2 linked regions of the Mus musculus genome follow. The protein of the gene in region 1 purifies or fractionates together with the protein of each later gene. This does not show direct contact. Links are inferred from orthologs where the notes say so. Each region holds a gene or a part of one and is shown on either strand. Other genes may lie near its edges.

Evidence for each region. Proteins that work in one complex are often made in the same cells at the same time.
Region 2: the proteins of Dld (region 1) and Dlst purify together in Homo sapiens (affinity purification with mass spectrometry; 3 studies listed by BioGRID and IntAct, counting the BioPlex papers as one, with this or other methods). This does not show direct contact. The link is inferred for Mus musculus from reciprocal best matches to the Homo sapiens genes DLD and DLST.

The regions. Positions count from the first base shown.
Region 1 is NC_000078.6:31,337,680-31,348,587, reverse strand, and holds part of Dld (dihydrolipoyl dehydrogenase, mitochondrial precursor), read left to right. Parts: intron 1-3,685; coding exon 3,686-3,765; intron 3,766-5,144; coding exon 5,145-5,213; intron 5,214-5,774; coding exon 5,775-5,844; intron 5,845-7,109; coding exon 7,110-7,210; intron 7,211-7,580; coding exon 7,581-7,724; intron 7,725-8,206; coding exon 8,207-8,308; intron 8,309-10,908. UniProt on the Homo sapiens protein: Lipoamide dehydrogenase is a component of the glycine cleavage system as well as an E3 component of three alpha-ketoacid dehydrogenase complexes (pyruvate-, alpha-ketoglutarate-, and branched-chain amino acid-dehydrogenase complex).
Region 2 is NC_000078.6:85,116,501-85,127,408, forward strand, and holds part of Dlst (dihydrolipoyllysine-residue succinyltransferase component of 2-oxoglutarate dehydrogenase complex, mitochondrial), read left to right. Parts: intron 1-1,858; coding exon 1,859-1,914; intron 1,915-2,026; coding exon 2,027-2,101; intron 2,102-2,281; coding exon 2,282-2,337; intron 2,338-2,732; coding exon 2,733-2,844; intron 2,845-5,486; coding exon 5,487-5,639; intron 5,640-6,279; coding exon 6,280-6,356; intron 6,357-7,273; coding exon 7,274-7,371; intron 7,372-10,908. UniProt on the Homo sapiens protein: Dihydrolipoamide succinyltransferase (E2) component of the 2-oxoglutarate dehydrogenase complex. The 2-oxoglutarate dehydrogenase complex catalyzes the overall conversion of 2-oxoglutarate to succinyl-CoA and CO(2).

The DNA.
Region 1 (10,908 bases):
TCTTTAATTTTGATCTGTGTTAGGATGTGTGTACATGTATGAGTCCCTGTGTGCATGCCACAGTGCAGGTGTGGAGATGAGAGGACAGCCTTGGATATCGTGTAACAGAATGTTATGGTGTAATCAGAGCCTCCTATTTTCAGTCTTTGCACAGGCACTTAGATTTTATGGAGTGAGTCCATGCTGGTTAGTTCTTGTCTACTTGACACAAACTAGAGTCTCCAGGGAAAAGGGACTTCGATTTGAGGAATTCTTCCCATCAGATTGGCCTGTGGGCATGTGTGTAGTGGAAGGGTGCAATCCACTGTAGCAGGTAGGCCTTGGCTATATAAGAAAGCAAGCTAAGCAATCCAGTAAGCAGCATTCTTCTAGGCCTTCTGCTTTAGTTCCTGCCTTTAGGTTCCTTCCTGTCTTGGCTTCCCTAAGTTGCTTTTAGTCATGATGTTGATCACAGCAACAAAAAAACAAACTAAGAGACAGTAACCTTTAATCAGGGGGTTCGGGGGGGGGTGTCTCTTGACATTGTCAAATTATAAGTATAAAATTAGTATATTTTAGGATAGATGAAATAGTAATTTTATACACTTACATGAAGCTGAATTGTTTACTTAATAACTTTTCCTCTCAAAAATAGAAGCTTTACTGGGGCAAAGACTGATTTTTCTTTAGTACCTAAGGTGGCACAGTTGGTCTTCACTGCCTGCTTACTGAATAAAAGAAAACTGCAGTCCTGTCTGTTTCAGTTGCTGTATCACAGAATGTTCAGCATGGTCACCATACAGAGTAGTACCAGCTAAAACGCCAGTACTCTTATCTGACACATGCAGGGCTTAGCTTTGTTTCAGACAGTCTTAAGTTCTAGTGCCTGTCCTGCTTTGGCCACACTTCTCTGTTAGCCTTCCTGTGTTATGAATAGAGAAGCTCTTAGAGAAGTAGGAGAATTCTTTTGACACTTGACCCATTGTTTTTATTCTGCTTTCGTAGACGTGTATTGGTTGACCAGCTTGAGGAAATCAAAGCTTGTATAGGATGTCTGTTTCAACACCTAAGAGATGTTTGAATATTCTTATAAAGCAAATTCATCAGGCTGTGTGAGGTTCTATTCCTATTGATAAGGACGATGTAGTTCACTTGTAGCAGACACAGATTCGTTGCAGTTACATCATATTTTCATTCACTGTTTTATTATATTCAGTATCTCAATAAGTATTTAATTTTTGTGCTAAGTTTTTTGTTTTGTGCTGTTTTTTTGTTTTGTGCTAAGTTATTAACAGTGATCTAAACAGACACAATTAAGCTTCTTTGTATTTCACAGTCCTCCTGAGGAAGACAGACATCTAACAGATACTTGTAATCATGGTAAACAGTCCAGTGGCTAAGGATAGGGATTTATGAACTCTGTATGTGGATAGGAAATGGTTACATAATTCTTTCTTGAGGATTTTTTGTTTATATATGTAATGACTGTTGTTAATTGTCAACTTGCCTGCATCTGGCATCGCCTAGGAGAAAAGTCTGGGGACTTACCCATGAGGTTAGATTAGCCTTTGAAGATATCTTGATTACATTAATTGATTGGGAAAATTCATTTTAATTGTGGAGGGGATTACTACCTGGGCAGGGAATCCTAGACTGTATAAACTAGAGAAAGTGAGCTGAGATCGCTGTTTATGGATGTGATGTCCCCAGCTTCTTCAAGCTCCTGGTGTCCCCTGTCATGATGGATTTAAAGTATCTTGAACTGTGGTCGATCCCAAATAAACTCTTTTTTAAGTTACTATGTTTTGTCACATCAACAAGAAAAGAAACCCAGACATTGTCTGAAGAGGGATATGTGGAAATGGGTGACTATTGTAATATAGAAAGAAGCATAGTCTATTTAAACTACTAAAAAAGTCATAGTGCTGACACATCGAAGTTTGAGAGTTGATTTCTCAGATAGGAAGTTTGGAATCAGTAAGGTGTTTTAAGCAGAGCCATCATAGGGTCAAGTTTATTTTAAATATCATTGTGGTTACTGGTTGGACTTTGGTAATTTTTTATTTTTCTCTAATCAGATTATAAGAGGCAGGGTAATTATTGTGACTATATGTTCCAAGAGCTTAGTGTTTGGCCTGTGAAATGCATGCTGTCAGTATGTAGTTCTAGATAATGAAATAGTGTGTATATGTAGGCTAGCTAATTCTATGCATGTAATTGACTACTGAAGCTTGGTATTAATGGATGTGCAGAATGGGGTGGGAGAAGAGATTAGAGAAATACTGAAAAGATGTAGGTGCTATACCTAGCAAGGTAGAGTTGTTTGAGTAACAGACAGGGGGATTAATGAAGACTGAGAAAATTATATCTGAGCTGCCTTGTCAGATCTGGCACAAGGGGTAGTAATATAGGCTGCTGTCAGAATGGGACTGAGGCTAGATGCTCATTCTCTAAAGTCTGGCCTAAGAGAATGTGGGAGGCAGATCTAAGAAAGCAAGCCACATTTACTGAGTGCTTGGTATGTACCCAGCACCTTAGGTTCTTGACATGTATTTTCTTTGGTCATTAACAACTTTGGACTATAGACATCATCACTATCATTCATATGTTGTTTTGGTGCTCAAATAACTGAATTTTTTTTTTTTTTTACTTAAGAATTTGAGTTGTGGGAGCTGGAGAGATAGCTCAGCAGTTAAGAGCACTGACTGCTGCTTTTCCAGGGGTCCTGAGTTCAATTCCCAGCAACCACATGGTGGCTCACAACCATCTGTAATGGGATCCAATACCCTCTTCTGGTGTGTCTGAAGGCAGCTACAGTACTCATATACATAAAATAAATAAATAAATCTTTTTTTAAAAAAAAATTTGAGTTGTATAGTTATTATTTGAACTTATGTCATATACAACTAAGGTTCTATAGTTATTAAATAGAATTGTTTAAATCCTTCTTTTATTCTTAAAGACTAATAAAAGTTTTTGAGATTATGTTCAGAAAGTGAATTGTTTCAATTTAAGATTTCAGATGATGAACACTTTGGAATAAGAGTGAGTATATCATATTTATTGGAGACGTTTGCAAAATAACTTGGAGATTAAGGCTAGTGACAGTTTAAACCATTTTCAGCCCTCAACATTCTGTATTCTCACTATAAAGGAAGGTGTGTGTGTGTGTGTGTGTGTGTGTGTGTGTGTGTGTGGTTATTTTGCAGATGAGCGGTTAAAATGAAGCAGGTCAAATTATTCACCTAAGGTCACCTCATTATGGTTGAAAGCTTTGCTTTTTTTGTGATTTTAATATATGAAGGTTGAAACTAAAGAATGTGATTGTATTAAATAGAAGGAAGAATAATACCAAAGGTGGAGTCAATAACTAGATAGTTGAGGCTAGTCAGTTTATTTCTGAACCTCTTATGTCATCCTTGCCCTCCTTATGTTATAGGGGAGTTATGTCATCTGTCATACAATAACCAGTAAGTAGCAGCTGGATATAGATAGGGTTCATAACCTAGGACTTAGTTGTATTTACATATCTTATAATGACTACAAGATAAAAGTGGGATCTCAAATGTTGTGCCATTTTTAGATGCATCAGAGTACACCAGACATCTTGGAACAAAATAATGGCATATTGAACATGCTGATTATTTGGAGTATTTTGGTAAATGCTAGTAATTTACCATTTTATATCAATCTGTTCTTGTTACAGTTGAGGCTGACGTGACAGTGATAGGTTCTGGCCCTGGAGGATATGTTGCTGCCATCAAATCTGCCCAGTTAGGCTTTAAGGTAAGGTAGACCTGAAGTAGAGGCTGCTTTGTTTTATTATGGACCAAGCTGGTTTTAGTCACAAAATACTTTGCAGGTAAACACATGGAAAATAATTTTTAAAATATTTTAAAAAAAAACATCTTTATCTTTGGATGTTTTATATGCACTCATGTGTGTTTGTGCACTGTACGCATGTGGTGCCCACATGAGGCTAGAAGATGGCATCCGATCCTTTGGGACTGGAGTTACAGACAGTTGTGAACTGCTGTGTGGATGCTGGGAATTGAACCCAGGTCCCTTGGAAGAGTGGCTACTTCTCTTAACCAACTGAGCCACCTGTCAAGCTCAGGAAATTATTCTTTTTAACTATTGATTATTTGTAAACCTGATATTGATGGGCTTTATTGAGTGTAGAAGTCTCATGGTATAGAAAAGCCAGCTATTTTTTTTCTGAAATACTTCATTTTGGTTTGTAAATATATTTGAGATAACAGTGTTAACAGTAAAACAATATGGTAATGTTGGACAAAAATCTTTTTAGAATAATTCACTCTAGAATTAGCCTAGTTTCTATTATTCAGATGATAAAATTCAAAGGGTTCTTTTTTTTTTAAGATTTATTTTATTAATATATGTAAGTACACTGTAGCTGTCTTCAGACACTCCAGAAGAGGGAGTCAGATCTTGTTGAGGATGGTGTGAGCCACCATGTGGTTGCTGGGATTTGAACTTTGGACCTTCGGAAGAGCAGTCGGGTGCTCTTACCCACTGAGCCATCTCACCAGCCCAAAGGGTTCTTTAAAAAAAAAACAAAACAAAAACTTTTTATTGATTCCAAATGAATTTTACATCATGTACCCCAATCCCACTCATCTCTCCATTCCCTCCTCTGCCCTTGCAACCCCCTCCCCCAAGAAATTGAAAAAAGAATAAAAAAAGAAAACCATCTTGTGGAAGCTGTAGTGTGCCAGTGTCCCACAGACCACCCTTGTGTCCACACAGCTTTACTTGTGTGCCAGTGTCCCACAGTCCACCCTTGTGTCTGTACATCTTTACTTGTGTGCCAGTGTCCCACAGTTCACCCTTCTGTCCACACAGCTTTACTTGGCAGATGTTCGTTGCAGTGAATCATCGGTCTGCTTCTAGGCCTCTGGCTTCTGCTACACCATCAATACTGACTTTTCACTGAGACTCCTTTCCGATATCCTGTTGTTGCCCTGTATCATGGAGCTCCAGCAGCTTTGGCTCTGCAGGATTGGCCCTCAGAGGGCACTTTGAGTCTGAAGAAACAGATTGAGTAGCTTACTTTACAGACCAATTAAGACATATATTTGGAGTCTTAGTGAAATAAAACATGCATGTTACCTGTTATTAAATAATGTTCTCTTTGATTGTAGACAGTCTGCATTGAGAAAAATGAGACACTAGGTGGAACATGCTTGAACGTTGGTTGTATTCCTTCAAAGGTAAGCATGCGTTTCACACGCTGCAAGATTGCTTTTTATTAGCTGCTGACTGCAGAGATGTACGGAGACCAACTTGTAGTCTAATACAGTTCTTATAAGGAATCTGAAGATGTTTATGCGACTTTTTTTTTGTGTAACTCTTCTATTGCTGACACCCTCTTGAATGTCATATATTCTGGAAGTTCTTCCTGTCCCAGACTTTTTTGTTCTGGTTTTGTTTTTGCTTTCTCTTTAGTTTTCCATTGCTACCGAAAAGATAATAGTAAAATTTTTGTTCTTAAAATTCTTGCCTGTGAAAACAGGTCCCTTTTAACCTGCCACCTTGAAATGTGTTCTTATTGTTTTACTTTTAAAGAATATAGCAGCTTTGTTTTGTTTTTTATTCTTGTTTGTCTATGACGTTTTAGTCAGTATTATTTATCGTAGGTTAATTGTGTGAGAAGGAAAGATGAATTTGTATAGTAGTATGTACTATTTTAAATAGAAATGTAATTTTGTAAGTGCTTTCTTGTGACAGAGCCTGTTTATGCATATTTGGTAAATTTGCCTTACTGTTTTTAGGCTTTATTAAATAATTCTCATTATTACCATATGGCCCACGGAAAAGATTTTGCATCTAGGGGAATTGAAAGTAAGTATACCTTTTATAGTTAGTACCATATGTATTTGACCTTTCTTGGTAAATACTGATGTGTGTGTGAACAGGTATTTATTGAAGGATAACTGAGATAAAAATCTTGAAATTTGGAGAGATTTACATAGAATGTTTACTTCAGACTACCATCACAGCTTCTATGCCTTTGCACATTTTTTCCTAAGTTCTGTTTTTTTTTTTGGGGGTGTGTGTGTGTGTGTGTGTGTGTCAGTGAAGAGTCAGTTTTTTGTTTCCCTCATAACTTGCTAGATTCCGGATTGCTGTGCTATTGCAGGTAAGACTGAAAGGAGAGTGGACAGTGGCCACCTGAGCTGTGAAAAGAGCAGAGAGAGGGAGTGGGAACAGAGAGAGGCCCGAGAGAAGACCATTCATGACATTTGCATGGAGTTTGTTTTGTCTTCAGTCACCATGTCTTTGGGGGGCTGTTTTTATCCTTTTTCTCCAGTCATATTTGACAATACATACATAAGACAGACATAATGCACTTTGTGGCATTCTTTTTACAGAAGTAGGTTTCTGAAAGAGGCTGTGTAGGAGGTCCATTAGATGTGTGTATGTTACAGCAGGTATGTCACACTCTGTGAAAGTACCCTGATGTTAGAAGACATAGGAGTGTCAGGAAACATGCAATATAGGCAAGCTTTTCCTGTTAGCTTGGTGGCCTTTGTCAGTCAGAAATGTCTAAGAGTCTGTCTGTGTGTTGACTTCATGGACTGATTGCTATGTCTTTACCTCTGCAGTTCTGTTGAGTTGAATTACATTGTTGCTTTAATGTTCTGAGTTAAATGAATTTAAAACCTAGTTGATTAAACTCATTATGCTTTTTCATATTTTGGAATATTCAAATATATATTTGTTATTGTTTCATGAAGTTTTAACCTTTGTTTTTATTTATAATTTCAGGTGATGTTCTACTTTGTCATTTTTACTTTATCTATCTTCCAGACTAATAACCATCATAAAGTATTTGTAGAATGTGCCACAGTGAAAATAGGATGTTTCTGTTTTGGACTGCATTTTTGGCACAGATGCACATTTAACAGTGCTTGATAGGGTCTGTTATTTTGACCTGATGATGTGGTTTTGCTAGGTGTGGTCATGACAGTCATTAAGTTTTAGAAGTGAATGCTATCTTTTTCAAAGTCTTATCAACATTAAGATGAATATTTTCAGATCTTGGGAACTATCACATATTGCTTCCATAGTTTAAATAATGAAAAGATTTATTTAACAAATTACAGTACCAGAAGTTCGCTTGAATTTAGAGAAGATGATGGAGCAGAAGCATTCTGCAGTAAAAGCATTAACAGGGGGAATTGCTCACTTATTCAAACAAAATAAGGTTGGTGTCCAGTGCTCAGATCTGTTTTATTTTACATATACATGAAATAATTGCTTTGTGCTAATAGCCATGTTTTATGATCTTGACCTGCTGTGGGATATTGATTTAATTTATAATAGTACTAAAACATTTAAAAATTAATGTAATGCGTTTATTATAATCCAAACCCTATAAAGAATAAAAACCAAAAGAAAATCCAAAATTACACTACCCTTAAACACCTGTCTCTGAGATAGTGTTTTGCTGCTACATGCATTGTATATTTTTAAGGAATTTTATGTTCTGTATTACCTAGAGTATTGTTCCTGTTACTCCTGTTACTCAGGAAAACATTGAAACATTGTGAATTTGTAAACATTACTTTATAAAGGTTGTTCACGTCAATGGATTTGGAAAGATAACCGGCAAGAATCAAGTTACAGCTACAAAAGCCGATGGCAGCACTCAGGTTATTGATACCAAAAACATCCTTGTAGCTACGGGCTCAGAAGTTACTCCTTTTCCTGGAATCACGGTATTTATGCTTCCTGATTCATCTCTTACAACCTAGCAGGTTTTTATAAGTTTATGCTGTTTATAAATGCTGACTGAAACACTAATTTGGCAACCATTTAGCATTGCAGAGTTACTTCTCTGTATTTTGTAGTGATTATGATAAGATATAGAACACTTTATAATATATTTAAGTTTAACATAAAGGTAAACAACGTGGTGGTGAGTGTCTGTGATCCCAGCATGTGGGAGGCAGAGTCAGGAAAGGAAGATTGTTATGGGGTCAGTGGTTAGCAGGGTTAGCAGCCAGGACTACATAGCAAGACTGTCTCTGTCAAGTGATAACATTTCTGAGTAGCATTGTGAATGCTAAAGAAGTTGTGATATATCTATAGATAGCATCAAAGCAAATAAATGATGTAAAATTTTATTGGATGACATCAAGATAATGTCATACTAGGTTTTCACAAGTAATTCTGACTGTTGTTTTTGCTCTTTTTATAGATCGATGAAGATACTATAGTGTCATCTACAGGAGCTTTATCCTTAAAAAAAGTTCCAGAGAAGCTGGTTGTTATTGGGGCAGGAGTAATTGGTGTGGAACTGGTAAGAAGGATTTTCCTTTTCTTTTTTTTAAGGCAATTTTTTATTAGATATTTTCTTTACATTTCAAATGCTATCCCCAAAGCCCCCTATTTCCTCCCCCCACCCTGCTCTCCAACCCACCCACTTCCACTTCCTAGCCCTGGCATTCCCCTGTACTGGGGCATATAATCTTCGCAAGACCAATGGGCCTCTCTTTCCAATGATGGCCGACTAGGCCATCCTCTGCTACATATGCAGCTAGAGACACAGCTCTGGGGGTACTGGTTAGTTCATATTGTTGTTCCACCTATAGGGTTGCAGACCCCTTTAGCTCCTTGGGTACTTTCTCTAGCTCCTTCATTAGGGGCCCTGTATTCCATCCAATAGCTGACTGTGAGCATCTTCTTCTGTGTTTGCCAGGCATTGGCATAGACTCACAAGAGACAGCTATATCAGGGTCCTGTCAGCAAAATCTTGCTGGTATATGCAATAGTGTCTGGGTTTGGTGGTTGTATATGGGATGGATCCCCAGGTGGGGCAGTCTCTGGATGGTTGTTCCTTCTGTCTCAGCTCCGAACTTTGACTCTATAACTCCTTCCATGGCTATTTTGTTCCTCATTCTAAGAAGGAGCGAAGTATCCACACGTTGGTCTTCCTTCTTCTTGATTTTCTTGTGTTTTACACATTGTATCTTGGGTATTCTACGTTTCTGGGCTAATATCCCCTTATCAGTGAGTGCATATCATGTGTGTTCTTTTGTGATTGGGTTACCTCACTCAGGATGATATCCTCCAGATCCATCCATTTGCCCAAGAATTTCATGAACTCATTGTCTTTAACTGCTGAGTAGTACTCCATTGTGTAGATGTACCACATTTTCTGTATCCATTCCTCTGTTGAGGGGCATCTGGGTTCTTTCCAGCTTCTGGCTATTATAAATAAGGCTGCTATGAACATAGTGGAGCATGTGTCTTTATTACAAGTTGGAACATCTTCTGGGTATATGCCCAGAAGAGGTATTGCTGGATCATCCGGCAGTACTATGTCCAATTTTCTGAGGAACCGCCAGACTGATTTCCAGAGTGGTTGTACAAGCTTGCACTCCCACCAACAATGGAGGAGTGTTCCTCTTTCTTCACATCCTTGCCAGCATCTGCTGTCACCTGAATTTTTGATCTTAGCCATTCTGACTGGTGTGAGGTAGAATCTCAGGGTTGTTTTGATTTGCATTTCCCTGATGATTAAGGATGTTGAACATTTTTTCAGCTGCTTCTCCGCCATTTAGTATTCCTCCGGTGAGAATTCTTTGTTTAGGTCTGTACCCCATTTTTTTTGTTTTTTTGTTTTTTTTGGTTTTTTTTTTTTGAGACAGGGTTTCTCTGTATAGCTCTGGCTGTCCTGGAACTCACTTTGTAGATCAGGCTGGCCTCGAACTCAGAAATCTGCCTGCCTCTGCCCCCCGAGTGCTGGGATTAAAGACGTGCGCCACCACGCCCGGCGATGTACCCCATTTTTTAATAGGGTTATTTGATTTTCTGGATTCCATCTTCTTGAGTTCTTTTTATATATATTTATAAATATTGGATATTAGTTCCATATCTGACTTAGGATTGGTAAAGATCCTTTCCTAATCTGTTGGTGGCCTTTTTGTCTTATTGACGGTGTCTTTTGCCTTACAGAAGCTTTGCAATTTTATGAGGTCCCATTTGTCAATTCTCCAGACCCCTGGATTTTCCTTTTCTTGCTGCTCTGTGATTGAAAGGGACTTACAACTTCTTCTTGGAGGCTAGAGGGATAGCTTAATGGTTAGCAGCACATACTATTTTATCAGGGACTCAAAAGGACAAGATTGGGAAGGTTTCAGGTAGCCATCTCAAAAGGGAGAGATAGCTCAGTGCTTAAGAGCACAAGAGTACCTCTTGCAGAAGAGCTAGGTTCAGTTCCCAGCACCCATATGGTGACTTTCAACTATCTATTGCTCCAGTTCTAGAGAGTCTGTGCCCTCTTCTTGCTTCTGAGGACACCGGGCATGTACGTGGTGCCCAGACATCCATTCAGGCAAACACCCATTTATGTAAAATAAAATGAGTCTTAAAACAAAACAGAAAACCTACTTCTATTTGTTTTGTTGCTGTTGTTGTTGTTGTTTTGGTATAACATATCAGGTCAGTCGTTGAGTTTTGCTTAAAACTGCCAGTAATAACAGATAACACCTTTTCTTCTAACATAACTTATTTAGGTAAATCATTAGTCTTTAGTATGCCCTTTGTTTTATAGTCTGCATCTTTGTTTTCTCATCATTTCTGAGCATTGAAACTGGTCTCTCTTTTTTATCGATAACCCTTGACATACTGAAAAATAGTCTTCCTCTGCGATCCCCTGGGTGATACCTGTGCCTGCAGGAAAGTAGACCCTTCGGATTGGTGTCAGCCTGGCTGAAGAGCCTTTGTTTCCCTAGCTGAGTACTAGCCTCTGCCATGGCCACTTACTTCCTCGCTTGTGCTCTACCTTACTGGCACGCTGTCTCTCCTACCCTTACATGACTTCCTGAGTAACGGGCAGGAAAAAGCGTGGGCTGGACAGGACTCCTCACCTCATGCTCATGCTCCAGACTTGAAAGC
Region 2 (10,908 bases), about 54 Mb from region 1:
ATGAGGAGTAATCATGACTTTATGTAGTAAATACAACACATAACTGAAGTTAATTGTGGAAAACTAAACTTCCACTTGAGTCACCCTCAACTGTGGCATGCTAGTAACACTGTCTGTGTCGCATGCTGTCTTTTCTTCTACGCATGTCTATTTTGTTTAAAAGATCTTTACACAATATTCTTTGATTGCATTTGTTCGTGTAGTAGCAGTGATGGGAGCACAGCATGAAGAACTTGTGGGAAGCTGGTTCTCTGTCCACTGGGTGGGTCCCAGGGAGTCAAGCGCAGGCCACCAGGCTTGGCAGACCTTGTCCACTGAGCCGTCTCACCTGCTCAAAAGACCTTTTTAGTGTAAAACTTTTTTGCTTTGCTTTTTACTTAATAGGCAATTTCATGTTTCAAAAGTCTTAAAAAAGGCTATCAGTTTTGTTTTTTGTTTTCCAAATAGGGTTTCTCAGTGTAGCCCTGGCTGTCTTGGAAAATGCTCTGCAGACTAGGCTGGCCTCTGCCCCCTGGGTGCTGGAACTGAAAGCGTGAGCCACCACTGCTCAGCAATACGTCTTTTATCCTTAGCACATTGAGTGCCTCTTCCAAGAGTAGCCAGTGCACCAGCTTTCTAGGTGTCTGCCAGAGCAACCCCTTTTCCACGTTAGTCTCTGCTCATGGACATATGTTTTTATTAGATTCTTATGTATGTATACAAACTTTATACGCAGTGTTCTATGTGCTGTATTTTTGTATTGTTCCCCTTGATACTACATGTATACATTTTAAAGTTATCCTGGCATAAAAGAGAAAGGGCAAAAAGGCAGTTAAGTCTACTTATGTATTGTAAAAATAACCTGTTAAGGTAATGAATGCCTCAGGCCTTTAATCTCCGCATTGAGGGAGCAGAGGCAGGGCAGACCTCTTGAGTTTGAGGCCGCTTAATCTATAGATTGAATTCCAGGACAGCCAGGGATAGTGATACTTAGTCTCGAAAAACAAAACAAAACAAACCTGTTGAGAAGATCCCCTAAATTTTTTCATCAGTTTAACTCATTCTCTCAAACTATATAAATAGCGGTTGAGTGGCAGATAACCTTAGTAACCAGGTGTATCTCCACTGTATCTCTACTGTATCTCCACTCCTCAGCTGTAACTTAGTGAGTTTGTCCAGAGGGTGATAGCTATCACCTTCCAGCGTGTACTACCCCATGTTCAAACGGCATGGTTTTGAGGTTCCTTTGCAGTGAGTCCAGGAAGGGCAGATGTGCTGCCTCTGTGTATGGGAATGTTAGAGGAAATACCATGGGTTTTTTTTTGGGGGGGGGGTTGTTTTGTTTTGCTTTGCTTTGTTTTCTTTTTTGTTGCTGTTTTTGTTTTTTAATTATTTTGGGGGGCGGGGTTAGTGGTTGCCTAATACTTTGCTTTTTGCTTCTGAGTTTACTCTCATTTTGCTGCCTTATGGAAATCTAATCCTGAGGGTAGTAACACATTTGTGTTTGGCATATCTGCGTGCTGCAGAGGATTTGGTTAAAGAAACCTAATTGGGAGGAAACATCATTTTGGTTAGTTTGCAAAGGACTAAGATTCTTTTTACTTCCTAGAACCAGTGTGTCTCACTCTTTTGAGAGGTGACATTTCATTTTAGTATGGAGCACTGTTTAAGGCACTTAGATCATCAGGCTTTGGGGTGCTACTTGCTGAGTCAGAATCTGTCCAGGTCTGGCCTGACATGTGTGCTTTGACAAGGTCCCCTGCAGGAGAATCTGCTTAAGATCCACCAGTTTAAGTAGGTAACCCTTGGTACCTGGACTGGACTGAGATATTAGTGGCTCACATTCTAAAAAGAATTAACATTTGTGTTTCTTTTGTAGCATTAACAGTGGTAGCGTCTTCAGGGTTCGCTTCTTCCAAACCACGGCTGTGTGCAGTTAAGTACCTGATTTCTTGTGAATGGACTTTTACTGGGAAGAGAAACAACTGAGTGAGATTATTAAAGACAGAATGAGCACTTGTGGTTTTCCTGTTTTGTTTTTCCCTAGAGAATGATGTGATAACAGTCCAAACCCCAGCGTTTGCAGAGTCTGTCACAGAGGGAGATGTCAGGTGGGAGAAAGGTGAGCTTTAAGTTAAAAACTAAGGTCTCTTCATGAAGCACAGCAAGTGGGAACTGGCTCCACCTTTTCCTCACATACGCATCTACTTCCTGCCCAGTCTTGTAGGAAAGTGGTCTTTTCACACAGTGGGTTAACAGGGGCCCTGAGGCTCCCAGCCAACAGGTGTCCTTTGTCTTTCAGCTGTTGGAGATGCGGTTGCAGAAGATGAAGTGGTGTGTGAGATTGAGACAGACAAGGTGGGTTCATCCTAAGGATTTATTACAGATTACTTTTGATTATTCAGTCGTATGTAGTATGTACACTAGTAACTTGAATCAGTAGCTACTTTGTTTGCTTTGTGGTTCCTGGGCTGCTTTCAGTCTTCTTCCTTGTATCACTTGGAAACATAGTAACTAAAGCATGTTTTAATGTTTCTAAGAAAAGACAGAAGGTGAATCCTCAAGATAGCAATCACTTGTCTTTTTCTGACTGAAAACATGGCCTTAGGTATTTCTGTGTGCAGAGGAGATGTAATATCCAGGTGTAACAGTGTTGTAACTCTTTCTACTCATCCTGCTTGACTAATGCAATACTATACAAATGCCGATAGGATACAAATGCCGGACTCTGTCTCCATTTCTTTCCTTTCCAGACTTCTGTGCAGGTTCCGTCGCCAGCAAATGGCATCATTGAAGCTCTTTTGGTACCCGATGGGGGCAAAGTTGAAGGAGGAACTCCTCTGTTCACACTCAGGAAAACTGGTGGTAAAGAAGTTCTTTTTCCTGGTGGTTAAGGTCTCCAGTGTTTCCTGGTGGGATTGAGGCTGAGCATACTGTCCTAGCAACTCCCCTGCCTCTGACTGGCATTCTAGTTACACCTTTAGTTGAAGGGTAGAAGAAATCCTGTTGATGGATGGTGAACTTTCATTGTCAAGTTCTAAGCCAACAGGGTAATTTTAAAAACCCACAATACTCTGTTCTTTCCATATTTCTCAGATTGGATCTTTTTCTTAAAGAACTAACAGGGGGTTGGGGATTTAGCTCAGTGGTAGAAAGCTTGCCTAGCAAGCACAAGGCCCTGGGTTTGGTCCTCGGCTCCAAGGGGGTAGGGGTGGAGGTGACAGGGATGGGGGGACGGGGATGGACGGACAGACGGTCAGACTAGCAGAAGTCAGGTATCTGAAGAGAGTAGTTTCCCTGCACTGACCTGGATCACATGGAGCTTTAAAAAAGATACAAATGAAAAGGCTTCCAGCTCCTGAGATTTCTGATTTACCACCTTGCTATAATAGTTGGATTGTTGTTAGTTTTGTAGCATTCTCCTAAGTGATTCTGACATATAGTCAGGCCTGAGAGCCACTGTGTTGACAATTGAGTGTAGTTTCCTTTTTTCTTTACAATTACATTTGTGTGTGTGTGTGTGTGTGTGTGTGTGTGTGTGTGTATCTGTGTGGGGAGTGTACACACAAAGGCACGAGTGTGGAGGTCGGTGGGTAACTTGAGAGTCAGTTTTCCCTTCCTGTCACATGGGCCCTAGCGCTCGAACTCAGGTTGTCAGACTTGGTCCTGTGTGTCTCCACCACTGAATCACCTCCTTTCCGTGTAGTTTCTTCTCACATTTTTCTCAGGAAAAATTGGCATTTCTCTTTGGAAGAAATGCCAAAGAAAGATGCCTGTACTGGACCTTATAGTCAATATTGGGGTTAGAAAATCTGTTTTTCTGACTTGTAAGTAAAGATTTTTGTAGTTAGAGTATTTAACTGTTAAGATAGTCAAGCAGAAAGATGGTAGATTAGACCATTAAAGTTGGTCAGGGCAAGATCAAGTTCAAAGTAAAGGGAAAAAAATCTGAAGTAGCTAGGATGAATACACCTGTCAGTATTCATGCTGGGACCCCTGAGACATCTTTCCAGGCGCCAAAATAACATTTTAATCAAATGCTCATTTAAGATTAAAGAGTTCAGAGGCTGGAGAGATGGCTCAGTGGTTCAGAGTAGATACTGTTCTTTCAGAGGACCCAAGTTCACTTCCCAGTGCCTACATGGCAGCTCACAGTTGTCTAAGACTCCCGCTCCACGGGTTCCAATGAGCCTTTATAGGCATCTCCATTCACGTGCACATATACACAGTTAATAATGATAAAATAATTCTTTAATTTGATTTATTTATTTAAAATAAATGTTCTTTTTTTTTAACATTCTTTTAAGAATTATTTTATGTATATGAGTCCACTGTCACTGTCTTCAGACACACCAAAAGCGGGCATTGGATCCTATTACAGATGGCTGTGAACCACTGTTATAGTTGCTGGAATTTGAACTCAGGACCTCTAGAAGAACAGTCAGTGCTCTTAACCACTGAGCTATATCCCCCACCCCCATTCCTTTTTAAAAAATTTTTAATGGTTAAGAGTATTCCTTTTGCCTGGTGGTGGCAGTGCACACCTTTGTGGATCTTTGTGAGTTTGAGGCCAGCCTGGTCTACAGAGAGTTCCAGGGGAGGGTTACACAGAGAAACGTCTTGAAAAACAAGAGAGCCGGGCATGGTGGCGCACGCCTTTAATCCCAGCACTCGGGAGGCAGAGGCAGGCGAATTTCTGAGTTCGAGGCCAGCCTGGTCTACAGAGTGAGTTCCAGGACAGCCAGGGCTACACAGAGAAACCCTTTGTTAGCTGTCTTGAAAAACAAAAACAAAAAAACCAACCAAACAAACAAAAAAACCCAAAAAACCCAAAAACAAAAGAGAAAGAGTATTTCTTGTACATGTTAACTCTAAAATAGAAGATTGTTAGCAGCGTGTCACATTTATGTGTGCATTTAAACATTTTCATTTGCTTTGTTGTTTTTGCTTAAAACAGTGGTTCTGCTGGTCACCAACCCCTTTGGAGGTTGAGTGACTCTTTCACAAGGGTCACCCAAAAACCTACGCATATCAGATATTTGTATTATGATTCATGATAGTATGAAAATTACAGTTATGAAGTAGCAATGAAGTGGCTGTGGGGGGAGGGTTTACTACCACATAAGGAACTGTATTAAAGGGTCACAGCATTAGAAAGGCTGAGAATCATTGGCTTAAGTTTTATTTCCTTGGGCTTAGTATGTGCTTTGAAAGTATTTGCTGAATTTGAAAGTCTGTAGATGTTAGTTAATATTTGTGAAATCAGGAAGGCATCTGAATCGAGCCAGCAGGACGTTTAGGGAGACCTGAGACTAGAGAGTAGTGGCTCGTGTCACTGTGTATCACTTGATGCTTTGCCTATAGCAAGGACCTAGGAGACATTTGTTTGAGGCTGGAAATAGACCTTTCTCTCTGAATCCTCTTTAGTAGCTGTGGTTAATTGCCTTCCATGGAGTGGTGCCAATGGCATTCTCTCTCTCTCTCTCTCTCTCTCTCTCTCTGTGCAGCTGCTCCTGCTAAGGCCAAACCAGCTGAAACTCCTGCTCCAGCCCACAAAGCAGAGCCCGCAGCACCGGCGGCCCCTCCTCCCCCCGCAGCACCTGTGCTCACTCAGATGCCACCAGTGCCCTCACCCTCACAGCCTCCTTCTAGCAAACCAGGTAAGACCCTGTAACAGAATACTTCACGGAGAGCTACTTAGATTTATTTTAGCTTGTTTTGAGGATGAAGAGTCCTTTATGTCAGGGAAGGTGTGGTTTCAGTGCACGGCAGATGGTCACGTGGCCATTGCAGCCAAGAAAGTTTGTCTGCTGCTCCATTCACTTTGTTAGCTAAACGCTACTCACTTCCAGACCCCAGCCCACATTACAGTGCTGCCTGTATTCACAGTAAGTCTCTCCACTCTGAGAGCAAGAATTCAGTTTCTCTGGAAAAACTGTTATAGACATGGCCAGGCTTTTATCTTCCCAGTGGTTCTAAGTCCTGTCAAATTGACAGTCAAGATTAATCCTTACAGTCTCTGACTCCCAGGGAGAAGGGACTTCGTGTCCCTCACAGTTACAGTCTGATGCCATGGCTCTGAATACACCAAGTTTGCTGAAGAACTGGGTTTGCAAACCAGCCTTCTATTTATTTGCTAACCATATGACACTAGTTTAATTACTTCTATGACTAGATTGTTCATCTGCGAGTTTGGAATGATGCTGATAAACTTTAGTATCTTGAGGGTAAAGGGTTAATACGGTGCAGAAAGTATTGCTGTCCGTGTCCGATGTAGCTGTGCACTCTCTTCATTTTCAGTGTCTGCAATAAAACCCACTGCTGCCCCTCCACTGGCTGAGGCAGGAGCTGCTAAAGGTCTGCGTTCAGAACATCGGGTAAGCCTCCGACAACTTCCAGGGAAGTGGCAGAGAGTCGCTGTGGAGAGTAATGGAGTGTGGTCACCGTTAGAAAGGGCTGGCACCTCTTTGCCTTGGCCTTGAGAAGGGGGAGAAAGTTACTTGTTCATGGTCTCGTGACTGTCAGAGGGAATAACTAGAACTCAGTGTCTCCCGAATGTTGGGGTTTCTACTGTATTGTGCTGTTGGTGAAATGCTTCCACTGAGTAAAATGTCTGCAGAGAATAGACGCACAGCCCCTCTCCCCACAGTGACACGCATGTCACAGCGGTAGTCACAGCAGTAGTCTGCTGAGCGCTCTCTCTCTCTATACTTCCGGGATATTTCGCCGCAGCTGGGGAGCCAGTGGGGCCAGATTGTTGCACTGTAGCAGTACTCTGTCAGAGGAGACAGAACCCTCAAGGAAGTATGGTCAAGAGTGTGGGTTCTTTGCCTGAGAATGCTTCCTAAAAATACCATAGCTTCAAAAGCTTGCTTTAGAGTTTCCGTTCCCCAAGTAGTTATTCTCACGCCAGTCTTTATCAAGAGAAGTCGCCCTTTCTGAAATGACTCTTAAGCTGGCTGGATCTACACCACAGTCTTCCTTTTGTAAATTGGTTTTGGTTTTTAAATCACACTATTTCCTGAGCTTCTGTTCTTGGTCAAATTTCAGGTATAGCTGAGTGAAAACCTTGGTCTCTGAGTCTGTGTTTTTGCTGGGGCTACTCCAGAAAGGGAAAGCCTCTAGCTTTAACTGTAGTGATTGAGCCCAGCACTGTGGCACATGCCATGAATCCCAGTACTTTAGGAGGTAGAGGCGGGAGGGTCTCTGGTGCTTGTCATCCATCGCTGACAGGCTGAGTCCTCTCACTGACTAGGGATGGTCTCATGGTCAACTCGTTCCACTTCCCTTTCAGGAGAAAATGAACAGGATGCGGCAGCGCATCGCCCAGCGTCTGAAGGAAGCCCAGAACACGTGTGCAATGCTGACGACTTTCAATGAGGTTGACATGAGGTGGGATCTCTAGTCCCTCTAGTCCCCACATCTGTGTTTCTAGAAGTAGAACGCGGGAACTTGCTGTAGCCCTTATCAGTGCTGCTTCCAAAACTAGCTTGACCTGGGAGAGGTATTTATTTCTCTGCTTAGCTCCTTGCTGACTTATACAGCATGACCCACTGGCTTAATTTGCTAGTTTACTTCTCTAATACTATGGAATGAATTAGAAAGCGTGTAAGAAAATAGTGAGCTTTACTGCAATGTAAAAAGCTTAGTTTTTTGGACTTTCATGCCTGAACTATTATGGTCTCTGATAAATTATCCTAGGGTAATCATTTTTGTTTAGGCTTTTATATTTACTTTTACTTATGTATATGTGTGAATTTGGAGCAGGGGTGCCAACAGAGGGCAGAAGAGGGATCCCTTAGAACTGGAGTTACAGGTCTTGGGGGCTCACTGACATGAGTACAAGCCCACATTTGGGTTCTCATAACTGCTCCAGTCCCTGTTTGGTTTTTGAGACAGGGTCTCAAATATATAGTCCTAGCTGGCCTAGAACTCACTATGTAGACCAGACTGGCCTTGAACTCACAGAGATTTGCCTGCTTGTGCCTCCCAAGTACTAGGGTTAAAAGTGTGTGCCATTATGCCCAAGCTGGTTGGTTGGTTGGTGGGTGGGTTTTGAGACAGTGTCTCATGTTGCCTGAGCTGGGCTTGAACTCTCTGTAGCTGAGGATGATGGTGATGGTGCTGCCATGTCCTGCTGCTAGTAATGGCCCACTTCTTGCTACCCCTTGGAATGGGAACCCTTCACAATGTGCCTAAAAGGACACCACACTCTCCTTCTTTCTGACAGTGATTGTTTCTTGTATAGTTCCCAAGCAACTCAGAATCTAGCAGGCAAAAGGACAGAAACCTGCCACCTCTTACTCTACCCTGTTTGGATTATGGAATTGGAACTAAATTAAGTTCCTCTGTGTGTGTGTGTGTGTGTCTGTCTGTGTCTGTGCAAGCAAGCACATACATATGTACGTGTGGGAGTGTGTAGGTGTGCATACATGCATATAAAAGCCAAAGATCAATTTCAGTTGTTGTTCCTGGGAGTCATCCACCTTGTTTATTAAGGCAGGTTTCTACTGGCCTCGAGTTTGTTAATAGGCCAAGCTGACTAGCCAGTGAGCCCCAGGGATCTGCGCGTCTCCTACGTCTATAACTCTGAGATTTCATGTGTGCCACCAAACCCAGGATGGTTTGTTTGCTTGGTTGGTTTTATATGGATTTTGGAGTTCAAACTCAGGTCTTCATGCTTACCTGGGAACGAGGATGTCTTCCCTAGCCCTAACAGTTAAACTCTAAAATGTAAAAACCCCCAGTTCACTATACCCATTCCTGTAATGGCCTAATGGTTGATTTCCTTGTTTTTTTCAAGATTTTGATATATCTAAGTATCAGCATTTTGGGAAAGAGAAAATAGTTTTATTTAACAAGTATTTTAAGTGTTTATCATATGCAGATTACTAAAGTGAAATTTAAGGAGTTATGGAGATGAGTGTAAAAGCTCTTTGGATCTTGCCGGGCGTGGTGGCGCATGCCTTTAATCCCAGCACTCGGGAGGCAGAGGCAGGCGGATTTCTGAGTTTGAGGCCAGCCTGGTCTACAAAGTGAGTTCCAGGACAGCCAGGGCTACACAGAGAAACCCTGTCTCGAAAAAAACAAACAAGCAAAAAAGCTCTTTGGATCTTGCTATCTCATTTTGGTGAACACTAAATAAAATCTAGAAGAAAAAAAAGCATCAAAAAGATAAAAATGAGTATGAAGTGGAGAAGGGAGTGTTGTTTGCTTTCGGAGTTTGAATGACAAGCATGTAAGCCAGGGAGAGTGTGTCATCTGTCATCCTGGTACTTGAGAGGTGGAGGCAACAGGACCAACAATTCAGGGTTCACCTTAGCTGCATAAAGTTCAGAATGAGAGCCTGTCTCAATTTAAAACAAAACAACATGAAAATGCTAAGTAGTGTTACATAGAAACTCATTCCAAATGGTTTTAGCAGTTTGGATCATGGCACTGTCAAGAAAATGCAAGAAACAGAAAAGATCTGGGTTGGTTTTGTTTTTGTTTTTGTTTTTGTTTTTTTTTGCCAACAGTTCACATAGGATATGAATGGTGAAGGTTGGATCTGTATTTGAATATCAGTGTAAGAATGAATTAAGTCAAAGATGACGTCTCTAAGGTACCCATCTCCCTTTGCTTTGAGTATTAAGTCTTTCCCTCTGCTTCTCAGTGAGGAAGTTTGTTTATTGGAAATGTATGTAGGGATCTGGTTAATTTTATTGGGAAGCCCATAATGTAGGGAAGGACTTTTCCTAGTGAATCACAAAGACTGCAGCCGTGTTTCCTGCATTAGCGGCAAAGTGTACACAAATTAAATTGGACTTTGAAATTTTACCCATTTCTTAAGACGAAGCATGTAAATATTTATATCTCTAAAAGATGCAGTTGGCCCAACATCCTTGATTGCAAATCTGTGTAATAGCTGGATCTTCTTTCAGTAGCCAATCTAGTGTCACTTAGCAGTGGCCTGAGACTTCCCGGGAGCCGGTAATGTGGTTTAGATCGAGTGCCCTTTGGGTCTTATGCCTATCAGCGAACCCAGAGGAGTCTTTCTGAGACTTGCCCCTTCCTCCACTGGCTCAGCGTTGCCTCCAAGGGCTAAGCTCTGAAATAGAAACTCCTTAATGACCAGAAAATGGCATCTAGGCAGGTCTGAGAACAGAGACACCCACCACGCCTCTTTCTGCAGTAATGCCTTTAGGGTGGTAATTCTAGCACTAAATGAGGTTAGACTCAGGAAAATAAACATTTTAAACCCAATCAATCCCCTCAGGAAAATTTCCTTTTTTCAAAAACAAAAGGTCTGAAGTGGGCAGTTAAAGGGTACCACATCTTATCTTTCCTGCTAATGTTGAATTAAGCCATTATAGGGGGAAAGGGAGACGTGAGCATTTGGGCCTGAGATAAAGTTCAACTCAATTTTCATCATGGAATGGTATTCCTATAATCATAGACCTTCCTGTGGGAAAACAATGGGAGAGACGTTTCTCACTAACTCTGCAATGCATATGTGTATGTGGGGGTGGGGTGGGGTGGGGTGGGGGCTAGCTTGATAGACCAGAGGATGTTCAAGTTGCAGAGTCTTCTCAGAGGCAAGCCCAGCGCTGAATCTGAAAGACAGGCCACAGCCCACACGGAGCCGCTTTCTAAATACCAAGGAAACCACAGTCGGTGAAACTAATCTTAAGGGCAGACACTGTTGTGTTGTTGTATCTTGGTGCCCAGCCCAGTCCCCCTCCCCCACACATAATGGGCATTAGTAACTGTTTCATGAGCAAGTAGAAAGAACTGCTAACTCAGAGGAAAGAGTGAGTCTGCTGACTTTGCATAAGCCGGGAAGAATATTGGACTTAGCTCCTGCGTATAATTAGTACCGTTTGGAATGGTAGTATTCATTGTGATCTTTAGATTATCTGTCACTGAAATCTGTGACTCATAGAACTA